2 linked regions of the Arabidopsis thaliana genome follow. The protein of the gene in region 2 purifies or fractionates together with the protein of the main gene of each other region. This does not show direct contact. Each region holds a gene or a part of one and is shown on either strand. Other genes may lie near its edges. The genes, in order: AT5G64670 and AT3G01790.

What was found.
Region 1: the proteins of AT3G01790 (region 2) and AT5G64670 fractionate together in Arabidopsis thaliana (co-fractionation; one large-scale study listed by BioGRID). This does not show direct contact.

What each region holds. Positions count from the first base shown.
Region 1 is NC_003076.8:25,851,667-25,856,246, forward strand, and holds AT5G64670 (Ribosomal protein L18e/L15 superfamily protein), read right to left. Parts: upstream 2,402-4,580; 5' UTR 2,215-2,401; coding exon 1,810-2,214; intron 1,521-1,809; coding exon 1,437-1,520; intron 1,339-1,436; coding exon 1,249-1,338; intron 1,136-1,248; coding exon 869-1,135; 3' UTR 575-868; downstream 1-574. Other genes in the region: AT5G64680 (mediator-associated protein), read left to right, coding at 2,767-2,883, 2,965-3,043, 3,104-3,208, 3,331-3,665.
Region 2 is NC_003074.8:282,442-287,663, forward strand, and holds AT3G01790 (Ribosomal protein L13 family protein), read right to left. Parts: upstream 3,364-5,222; 5' UTR 3,266-3,363; intron 3,184-3,265; exon of another isoform or gene 3,153-3,183; 5' UTR 3,143-3,152; coding exon 3,095-3,142; intron 2,754-3,094; coding exon 2,682-2,753; intron 2,481-2,681; coding exon 2,314-2,480; intron 2,200-2,313; coding exon 2,088-2,199; intron 2,010-2,087; coding exon of another isoform or gene 1,923-2,009; exon of another isoform or gene 1,658-1,922; coding exon 1,439-1,657; 3' UTR 959-1,438; downstream 1-958. Other genes in the region: TPLATE (ARM repeat superfamily protein), read left to right, coding at 1-318, 398-958; AT3G01800 (Ribosome recycling factor), read left to right, coding at 3,579-3,789, 3,980-4,123, 4,196-4,311, 4,416-4,507, 4,605-4,626, 4,704-4,772, 4,875-4,943, 5,022-5,102.

The sequences.
Region 1 (4,580 bases), on a different chromosome or scaffold from region 2:
ATTTGTCAATGTGATGGACCAAGGTTGCATCTAATTCTATAGCCATTTAATTTATTTTGACATTAAACGTGACATTTATGCCGGAAGGTGATCATCAATAGGTACATAAGATCAGAAAGGTGTGATCAATAGAAGAAGATAAACAGAAACATTTTTAAAATATAGTGTATGATATTGAACTGCACTTGATTTTAAACAAATACGTAATGATCATTTTTAAAGACAAATAAACCGATCTAATTACATATTTATTTGATAATAAAATACCAATCGAGTACTCTTTTTTTTTCGTAGTTATTTAATATAATCAATGCTATAATTAACAGTACAGTACTCATCATTACATGTTTGTTAAGAGTAATGAGTTCTGAAACCTCGAAATCTATCTTCTTCTTCTTTAATCACGTTCGGTTGTTCAAATTCAGACAATCATAGCCCCTTTTCGATAAATTAGGTAAATTTCGCACATCGTTTTGGTAAAATAACACTGCAAAAAAGGGACATAATCTCATAACCTATATATTTGCAGTTGCAGATTTTAGCATCTTTAGTCAAAAAAAGCAAAGTTACCATTGAACTCATTAACATTAACAACGCCTCAACCAAACCGGATAATAATGAATTCAAATCTAACGTGATTGTTCTCTGGTTTTCTCAACCTTCTACAAGAACAGGCCTTGATCCCAAACAACAAGTCTGAAAATGGTTGAATAACTTGTTGTGGCCAACTACAGATAAAGTAAAACGAGAAAGACCTTATTTGTCAAATTAAAATCCGACATTCTCAATTTTCTAGTGGTGAACATTGACCAAGAAACAACACAAACAACTTAAACAGAAACATCAAACGTTAAATGGCAGCCCAAAATTATGATTCAACAGGAGATTCAACTTTGGTCTCCTCAGCTGCAAAGAAGGGAATGGGTTTTTTCGGAGCTGGAAGACGTCCAATGCTATCAACCTTATCTTGTTGTTTAGGAGGTGGTCGCGCTGCTTTTGGCAATAACCTTCCTTTCTTCTCAAACCATTCCGGTTTAAGCAATGCCCTTAAGCCCAACTTGTTGTAATACACTCTTCTCACTGATCCTCCTGCTGCTTCCACCACCTCTTTGGCCCTAACCGTCACTCTCGAAACCTGTAATAAACACGCTCATACCGATCAACTGAACATCTAACTAAGCAAATACATTGACTGGTGCAACGGCTCTAGAGACTACAGAGCAAAAGTTAATAACGCAAATGATAAACCTCGAAATGAAGTGGCCATTTGATATCATCAGCACCACGACCCATTAGTCTTACTCCATCTTCTATTTGCTTTCCTATGGCTCCCACATCCTGCAAACCGACGTTAATGTGTTCAGTAAGAATCAGACATATTAAGAATCCTAAACTCAATTTAAACCGTTGAATCAAAGAGTGAAGTATGACCGAACCTTGAGCGTTTTCATTGTAATCAATTCATGAGAATCTATCTTCCCAGCGTTTATGAGTTTAGCAATCTTCCCTAGACCAACCGGCTGCATCACAAAACAATCATAAACATCTTTAGTCGCTGCATCAATAGAGTGTCAAATCCTAAATCCTTACACACACAGTATAACCTACTTCACCACAAGCAGCTAAAGAACAGCAATAATGGCATACAGAAAGAAGAACAAGAGTGATCCATCTGATTTAGATTCTCAAATTCGACCTAATCTAAGGAATCAATCACAAATGTTAACCCTTCGAATCAAGGGAAGCTACAAAATCCGAAACTTGACCTCAGAAATGAAAATCCCAGAACTAAAAGGCACAAGCTTGAACCTGAAAATGGAGCTTAAATTTGTTCTTGAAGCCACGTTTGGGTAAACGACGTCGTAGTGGAGTCTGACCACCTTCGAAACCAAACTTCATCGTTCCTCTCGCTTTTTGCCCCTTGTGACCTCTTCCAGCAGTTTTACCTTTACCAGACCCAATACCTCTTCCTTTCCTCGTCTTGAGTTTTCTCGGCACATTGTCTCTCAGATCGTTCAAGCTCAATAAACTATAAGCCCTGATTCCTTGAAACGACAAAGCCCTGCTCGTAGAGGTCGGAATTTGAGTAGAGATCGGAGAAGGACGGCATTGAAGAAGTGGTGAAGAAATGATGAATCTGGGTTTCGCGGTTTGATGAAACGAAGAATTGATGAGTGATGTTGATATGATCGACAAGAGTCTTCTTCTTAACATTTCTTCGTTGCGGGATCAAGTAGATTTCGATTTTAGAGATCTCCTGATGAAATTTTGATTATTCCATTTTGGGGATTTAGGGTTTATGAGATTTCAGTGAAGAGCTACTGAATCATCCATCACCATTGCTTTCTTCTTCAGTACTGTCACTTAAAGGCCCATTATGGCCCAAATGTCTTTTCCACCCGCCAATTCACTAAACTATGTCGTTTTGAGTGAACTTCAAAATAAAATAAAACAGAGAAATAAATTGGGAAGGGTTTTAGGTCATCGCCGAATTGCTATTTCTCCGGTAACGATTCTCTCTCTTTTCCGCCGCCGACGAAGCCATCTTTCTTTCTCTTTAGCTTTCTCGTTCCGATTTGCATCCAGTTTCTTGATTTTTCTAACTAATTTATGTCTTTTGAAGAGATTTATAATTGCGATTTTGACAGAGTTTGAGTTTGTTCAAAAGCTTTGTTTATTATATATGTTAAAGCTCTCGCTATATTTAACACTTGTTTTCTCGATTTTGCAGGTTTTGTGAAATCGCGAGAGCTGATTTGAGCAGAGATGGATTTCGATTTCAAAGTTTCCGGAGATTTCATAGTCAGTGGCGCAGAGCAGCTAGATGACACTGATTTGACGCGTTCTGATGAGTTTTGGCTTATCCAAGCCCCTTTAGGCCAAGTATGTTTAGAGAATGATTCTTTATTGCAAATTTGATCCTCATGTAATGTTCTACAGCTAAATGACTTTTCTTTATCGCAGTTTCCAGAAATCGAAGAGAACACTCTTAAGATTGAGCCAGACAAAGATGGGTTATTTGGAGAATTCAAGGATTCAAATGGTATGTTTATGTTTTGTGTTCTTTCATACTCTTTAATATTTTAGTTTTGATCTCCAAAAGCTGGCTCATTACACCTTTGTTTAGGTGCAAAGTATGATCTTGCTAGCTTTCATTCTCAAGATGCTGGTGCAGAGTTGATTATACCTTCTGAAGAATCAATGATTGGTATATTCCCATTACTTTACAGTTGTGTCTTGTTTAGGTTTTGGTCGTTCAGTTTACACAGTTTTGTTTTACCACCTGTTTCGTTAATAATGATTCTTCTGTTGTTGTTCGTTTTATGATAGTTGGGAAGATTACTCGGCGAGTTGCATTAGTTCGTTACCCTGAACCAAACGAGTTGCTTCAGAAAATGAAGGCTAGAACACAACAGAAGCTTGTCGGATCAGTGACGAATTCCTCTAAGAAATCATCTAACCTTACTCAAAGCAGCCGGCATAAAAGCGGCACACGTAGCAGCAGAGAGAAGAGCATGTTCTCTGGCTTCACCGAGACTCCAAAGTCGCCAAAAAGAAAAAATTCAGAGTCTTCCTCAGGTAAACATCGGAGCTCAACAAGTACGGTTTCAGGCTCTTCAGAACGATCAGCAAAGTCCAAGAAGAAGGTGAAGAAGGAAGAGTAAAGATCTTTGCTCCTGTTTTTTTCAAAGAGAATGTTTGTGACTGTTAAGATGTTGAATTTCGATTATGCAGATGATAAACAGCCAGTAATGTATTCAAATTCATAAGTTATTTCGCCGTAGATGCTTATAAAAGTTCAAGCTTATTAGCTACCATGGAACAAAGTAAAAGTAAAATACAGCTTTTCAGCTATGTTTGTTGTTCTTTTGTCTTCAAGCCTCTGTGGTTGGAGTTGTTGCAGAGTCTTGTGATATTGGCTTCCATTGTTGCGGAGTTTGAGCTTTCGTTATCGAGAGAGCATGGATTTCTTTCATCTCTTCTTCAAGAGCAGCGTTCACAATACGGTGCCTCTCGAGCAATCTCTTCCCCTCAAACTGTTCCGAGATAATCTCAACCACAAAACTCGCGCCACAGCTGGGAAAAAAGGGTAAAGTTTAAATTGAAAACTGGAGATGAGATGTCAAAGGTCGATGATTGAATAAATGGTATAGTGATCATAAGACTTTACCCTCCAGATGTGTCGATGACTTCCTGGTTTTACACATGAATTAAACCAAGTCAGTGATGTTGTTATAAAGAAATAAGATCACTTATGCCCAAACCACATAAGTGAGTAGTCATGTTAATATGGGCTAACCCACCCCAATTAAACCCACCCCATTTAAAGTGACAATATCATTTCCATAGCCATTTGCTTTATATCCTCATCATCACAAGTGACGTACTTCTTCAATAGTAATTCAATCCTCCATACTTGGGTGAAGTATACATTCGATGTCGGATACTTGGAACCTGAAATATAAGTAGTGATTACACTAAATGGCTTCAACAAGTCACAAATCTTTTCACCACGATCCCACTCATCATCTGATGGTAAAGACTTATAATTGGTGTCAAAAGCCTTCATGCTATCAAAT
Region 2 (5,222 bases):
CAGATCATGAAGCAGAAGAGAGGTTCAAAAGCAGAACTCGGAGAGCCTGTGATCTTAAGATGTCAGCCTTACAAGATCCCACTGACTGAGCTTCTTCTACCGCACAAAATCTCACCAGTCGAGTTCTTTCGTTTGTGGCCTAGCTTGCCAGCTGTTGCAGAGTACACTGGCACATATATGTATGAAGGAAGCGGCTTCATGGCGACCGCCGCACAACAGTATGGGGCTTCACCATTTTTAAGCGGACTCAAATCATTATCCTCGAAGCCATTCCACAGAGTCTGTTCCCACATTATACGCACAGTTGCTGGCTTTCAGGTGAACTTGGTTCTGTTATTCTTCTTGTTCCTTAACTGGATTGATGGTCTGATAAACCCCTAACTTGATGTCACTACAGCTTTGTTACGCTGCAAAAACGTGGCATGGAGGTTTTGTGGGTATGATGATCTTTGGCGCTAGTGAAGTGAGCAGGAACATGGATCTGGGTGACGAGACTACCACCATGATGTGCAAGTTTGTGGTTAGAGCATCAGAAGCATCAATCACAAAGCAAATAGAGTCGGATATTCAGGGATGGTGTGATGATCTAACTGACGGGGGCGTTGAGTACATGCCAGAGGACGAAGTGAAGGCAACCGCGGCCGAGAAGCTGAAGATCTCTATGGAGAGGATAGCTTTGTTGAAGGCAGCTCAGCCGAAGAAGACTTCAAAGATAGAGGAGGAATCAGAAAACGAAGAAGAAGAAGAAGGAGAAGAAGAAGATGATGATGAAGAAGTAAAAGAGAAAAAGGAGAAAGAAGAGGGAAAGGACAAGGAAGAGAAGAAGAAAAAAGAGAAGGAAAAAGGAACATTTTCTAAGCTGACAGCAGAAGAAACAGAGCACATGGCGCTTCAGGCAGCAGTGCTCCAAGAATGGCACATCTTGTGCAAAGATAGAAAATATACCAAAGTTAACTAAGAGCGAGAGTACTTTTTTCTCAGATGAAGCTACAACAATCTTTGTTTTCTTTTGTTGTGTGTGGTTTCTTCGTAGGTTTAGATGTTTTGTATTGTTGTTGGTGAAGAAAAGAAACAAACCAAGGATGTTACTATTGCCCTTTTTTACGAATTCTTCCGTCTTATTCACAAATTTCACACGTTTATGGAACCAAGGATGCATTTACCCATTTTCCATCAGTAACATTCTGTAGTCATGCAGTGTTTGGCGTGAGATTGCTCTGTTTTTTGCAACGAAGAAAACTGAAAGATAACCAGAAACAGATCCATGTTTAAGGAAGATGGTTTTGGCTTCATTTGTGATACAGTGTTTGAGATCCAGAAACAGGTTTATTGTCTGAGAAACAAGAAAGCCTTAAAAGCTTATCCACGTCTGCATTATGAACTTTGCTTACAAATAAAAAGACAGTCACATCACTAGCTTTCCTCTGAAGTAATTCCTCTACGCAGGTACTTCAGAGAGGGTCCTCTTCTTTCCTTTCTTTACCTCTGTTCCCTCATTTTCTGCCTGCTCTGCCTTCTTCTGCGCACGGATCATTGCTCGCCTTGCGCGCGGTCGCATCTCTCTAACTCTACGAGGCGGCATCACAAATGGCTCAAGTGGCTTGTCCCCAAAAGGATGCTCACCGCCTTCAAATATCCTCAGCTTCCGATCCCTGTCCTATACCCACACAAAGCAACAAAACCTCAGCACATTCTTGTTTTAAGCAACACATCCTAAACTATGCGAGCAATTCATTTAGGAGCTGAGAAGCGAGAATGTATCAGTACAAACAAGCCACTATTCCCACCAAAGATAAAGGACAAATAACAAAATGGTAAAACCAAGAGTTCAGAACAATCTTCCTTCCAAACCTAAATGATTTTCAAAACAAGGGTATATCATCTCATTCGATAAGACCGATTTGTGAGGAGAGACAACCTTTCTAGACATAGGACACCAAGAATCTCATTCCACACAACTCATGATGGATATCAACAAGTAAGAGTAAAGCCAAGGTGTGGGGTAATATCTGTAGCCAGAAAGTCAGGGATCTAAAAGACTGAGGATTCAGGTGATTAGAAAATGTTTCAGTTTATAGTGTACTCACATCACGCAAATTGTTACTTGGAAGCATGCGCCAGACAGCCTTACGAATGACCTCTGTGGGATCTTTGGCCATCTGATCTTTCAGACTCCGTTCCTTCAGGTGTCCGATGTACCTACAAAGAGAGATTAAATAAAGTAGATGAAAATGGGAGATACTAAAAGATATGATAAAACACTTGTAGTAGCTGAAGATTCACAGGAGCATTAAAAGAAAGAGTGCAACTTGCCCAGTATGCCAACGGTAGAATTTGTCAGTGAGCTTTCTTCCTGTGAAGCCGATTTCCTTAGCATTGAGAACAATACAAATATCGCCATCGTCGCGGTTAGGACAATAAGTAGGCTTATCTTTGGCTTGAAGCACGGTTGATATCTGGGAAGCTAGTCTACCAAGAACCTAGAGTAGACAAGTTATATTCACAAATGAAATCCTAGCAATTCAATTCAGATTTAATACAAAGACACAACAAAGATAAGGCATCCTATCTAAAATCTGGAAATGTTTGCCACTGTAGTCATGTAACTAACCAAGCATAAGAAGAAGAAAGTGGTAGAAGAAAGAGAGAGTAGATTGGAAGAGAGGTAGAAGAAAGAAAACCTGGCCTCTGGCATCAAAAACACGCCAACGAAGACCGTCGAGATTGATACGCTTTATACCTGCCACAGCTTTCTGCACAAAGACATACTCAAGATCAGCAACAAAACATAATACAAAGAGTAGATTGGAAGTTTTTTTTTAATAATAGAAAGGGGTCCATTTTCGAATAAGTTTGTAGCATCTACTCAATTTCTAAATTGCATAGCATAGGTGTGACACTCTCTGACCGTAATGGAGAATAGATGCAATGGGAAGTGATCATTGTTCCAAATGATTTTAAGTAGAAAATGCATAACACGTAGAAGAAGACCTAAACGTGGGAATCGCTCACTGGTTGATAGTAATCTAAGGTGATTTGGCTAAAACTGATCAAAAAGCTGGAGATATGGAAGGAAGAAGTAATCATTTTATACCTTTAAGTTGCCCTTGAATGAGGCAGCAGCAGCAGCCTGAGTCGCCATCGTTCTTCAGCTGTTTGTTAGACAAAAAACAAAAAACAAAACTGAGAATGTGATTTCAGTTATACAGATTCGTATGGAGAAGTCTGCAACGAATTGACCAGAATCACCAGAGAGATGACTCACCGGTTACCGGAGACAGTGCCGGAAGTGACAGCGGCGGTGGAAATGGGAAGATCTAGGAGGGAGCTGTATAACAAAGGGTTTTAGAAGGCGGAGGGCTATTTTGGTATTTTCTCATTAAAAGAAAAGGAAATGACTTTATATATGAAGGAAACTAAATTTTTTTTATTACATTTCAGTCGTCGATTCGAGGTCGAGGGTTTTAGCTCTATACACGGAATCAATCAAAAGGTACTTGTTTTTCTTGCGTGTCTTCCTCCTTAAACCTCAGAAAAGAAGAAGAAGAAGAAGAAGAAGAAAGTTGAAGTCTTTAGGGATGATGGCTATGTTCGTGAGACGAGCTCTATCTAGTCGTAACGCGATTGGGTTTCTCAGAAGAAGCTCCGTTGTTGTTCAATCTCGTGATTTCTCCTTCATTTCTTCACCCAATCTCATGATGATGGGAGGCCGAGATCTGCAATTCGATTTGTCCATGCCCGATTTCCTCAGAGATTCTCGTCGAGGCTTTGCAAAAGGCAAAAAATCAAGTATGTTGTTTATTCCTCATTTCCATTTATCAATCACTCGCTCGTGAATCTTATTAACATGATTTGTAGACTTTTCAAGTAGAGGGATTGATAGATTCTTCTTGTACTAGTTGTAGTTGGTATCAAAAGAGTTTCTTTTTTCTTTTGTTTTTTGTTGTATGAACAACGGCATTTCTGCCTTCTTCTTCAGAGGACGATTCAGGAACAGGGATGGTCGACGCAGCTCCAGATATCGGACCTACCGTGAAAGCAGCAGCCTCTTCTCAAATGGAGGCAGCCATTGATGCATTGTCCCGGGATTTAACTAAATTAAGAACCGGAAGAGCCGCTCCAGGTACTTCTCACCTCTTTCTTTCGGGTTTAGGTTAAGCCTCTCTGTGTCTGTGCTTATTGTGTGCATTTGCAGGAATGCTTGATCATATTGTTGTTGAAACGGGAGGAGTAAAGATGCCACTCAATCACTTAGCTTTGGTCTCTGTCTTGGATCCTAAGACTCTCTCTGTCAATCCTTATGATCCCGATGTATACTGATTCTTTCTTTCTCTTTTACTAAGAAAAACTTCGACTACATTAGAGTGTCATTTTTCTCCAACAAGCCGCCATTGACGCTTTGTTTGTCTCTGCAGACGGTCAAAGAACTTGAGAAAGCAATAGTCGCGTCGCCATTAGGATTAAACCCGAAACTGGATGGGCAACGACTGGTCGCATCTATCCCAGCGTATGAAAGTTCTTCTCTGTCAAATTTCATTGTTTATCACAGCCGTAATTGACTGACTTTGTCTGATTTCCGCTCTATGTTTTTATTTCGTGAGCAGATTGACCAAGGAGCATATACAGGTAAAGCATCCAAGTCATGTGTTATTGTTTAGTCACTGAGGTTGAGCCTTGACCCTATCTATCTATATGAACTCCAGGCAATGTGCAAGATTGTTACAAAGTCCAGTGAAGTTGTCAAACAAAGCATAAGAAGAGCGAGGCAAAAGGTAGTATGAATGGTGTAGAGCACAACCATAGAAGCTGTTTGTTGTAAACTCTCTCCTACACGTCAGAACATCTAATGATCAGAGACTTTTTTTTTTGGTCAGGCACTGGACACGATAAAGAAAGCAGGCTCGAGTCTACCAAAGGATGAAGTAAAAAGACTGGAGAAGGAAGTGAGTGTCATTGTATGATCTTTCTGCAAATATGCATCCTACTTCAGTTACTGAAAATAATGGCCTTTGTGTGAACAGGTAGATGAGTTGACGAAGAAATTTGTGAAGTCAGCAGAGGACATGTGCAAGTCCAAAGAGAAAGAGATCACCGAAGCCTGATTCATCATTCCTATACATCACTAGTCTTTTCACGCTACCTTGAAAGAATCTTTTATTCATTACCAAGATTTGTTTTCAACTTTTGAATGTTTGATTTGGGGATCTTGGAACTGCAAGAAA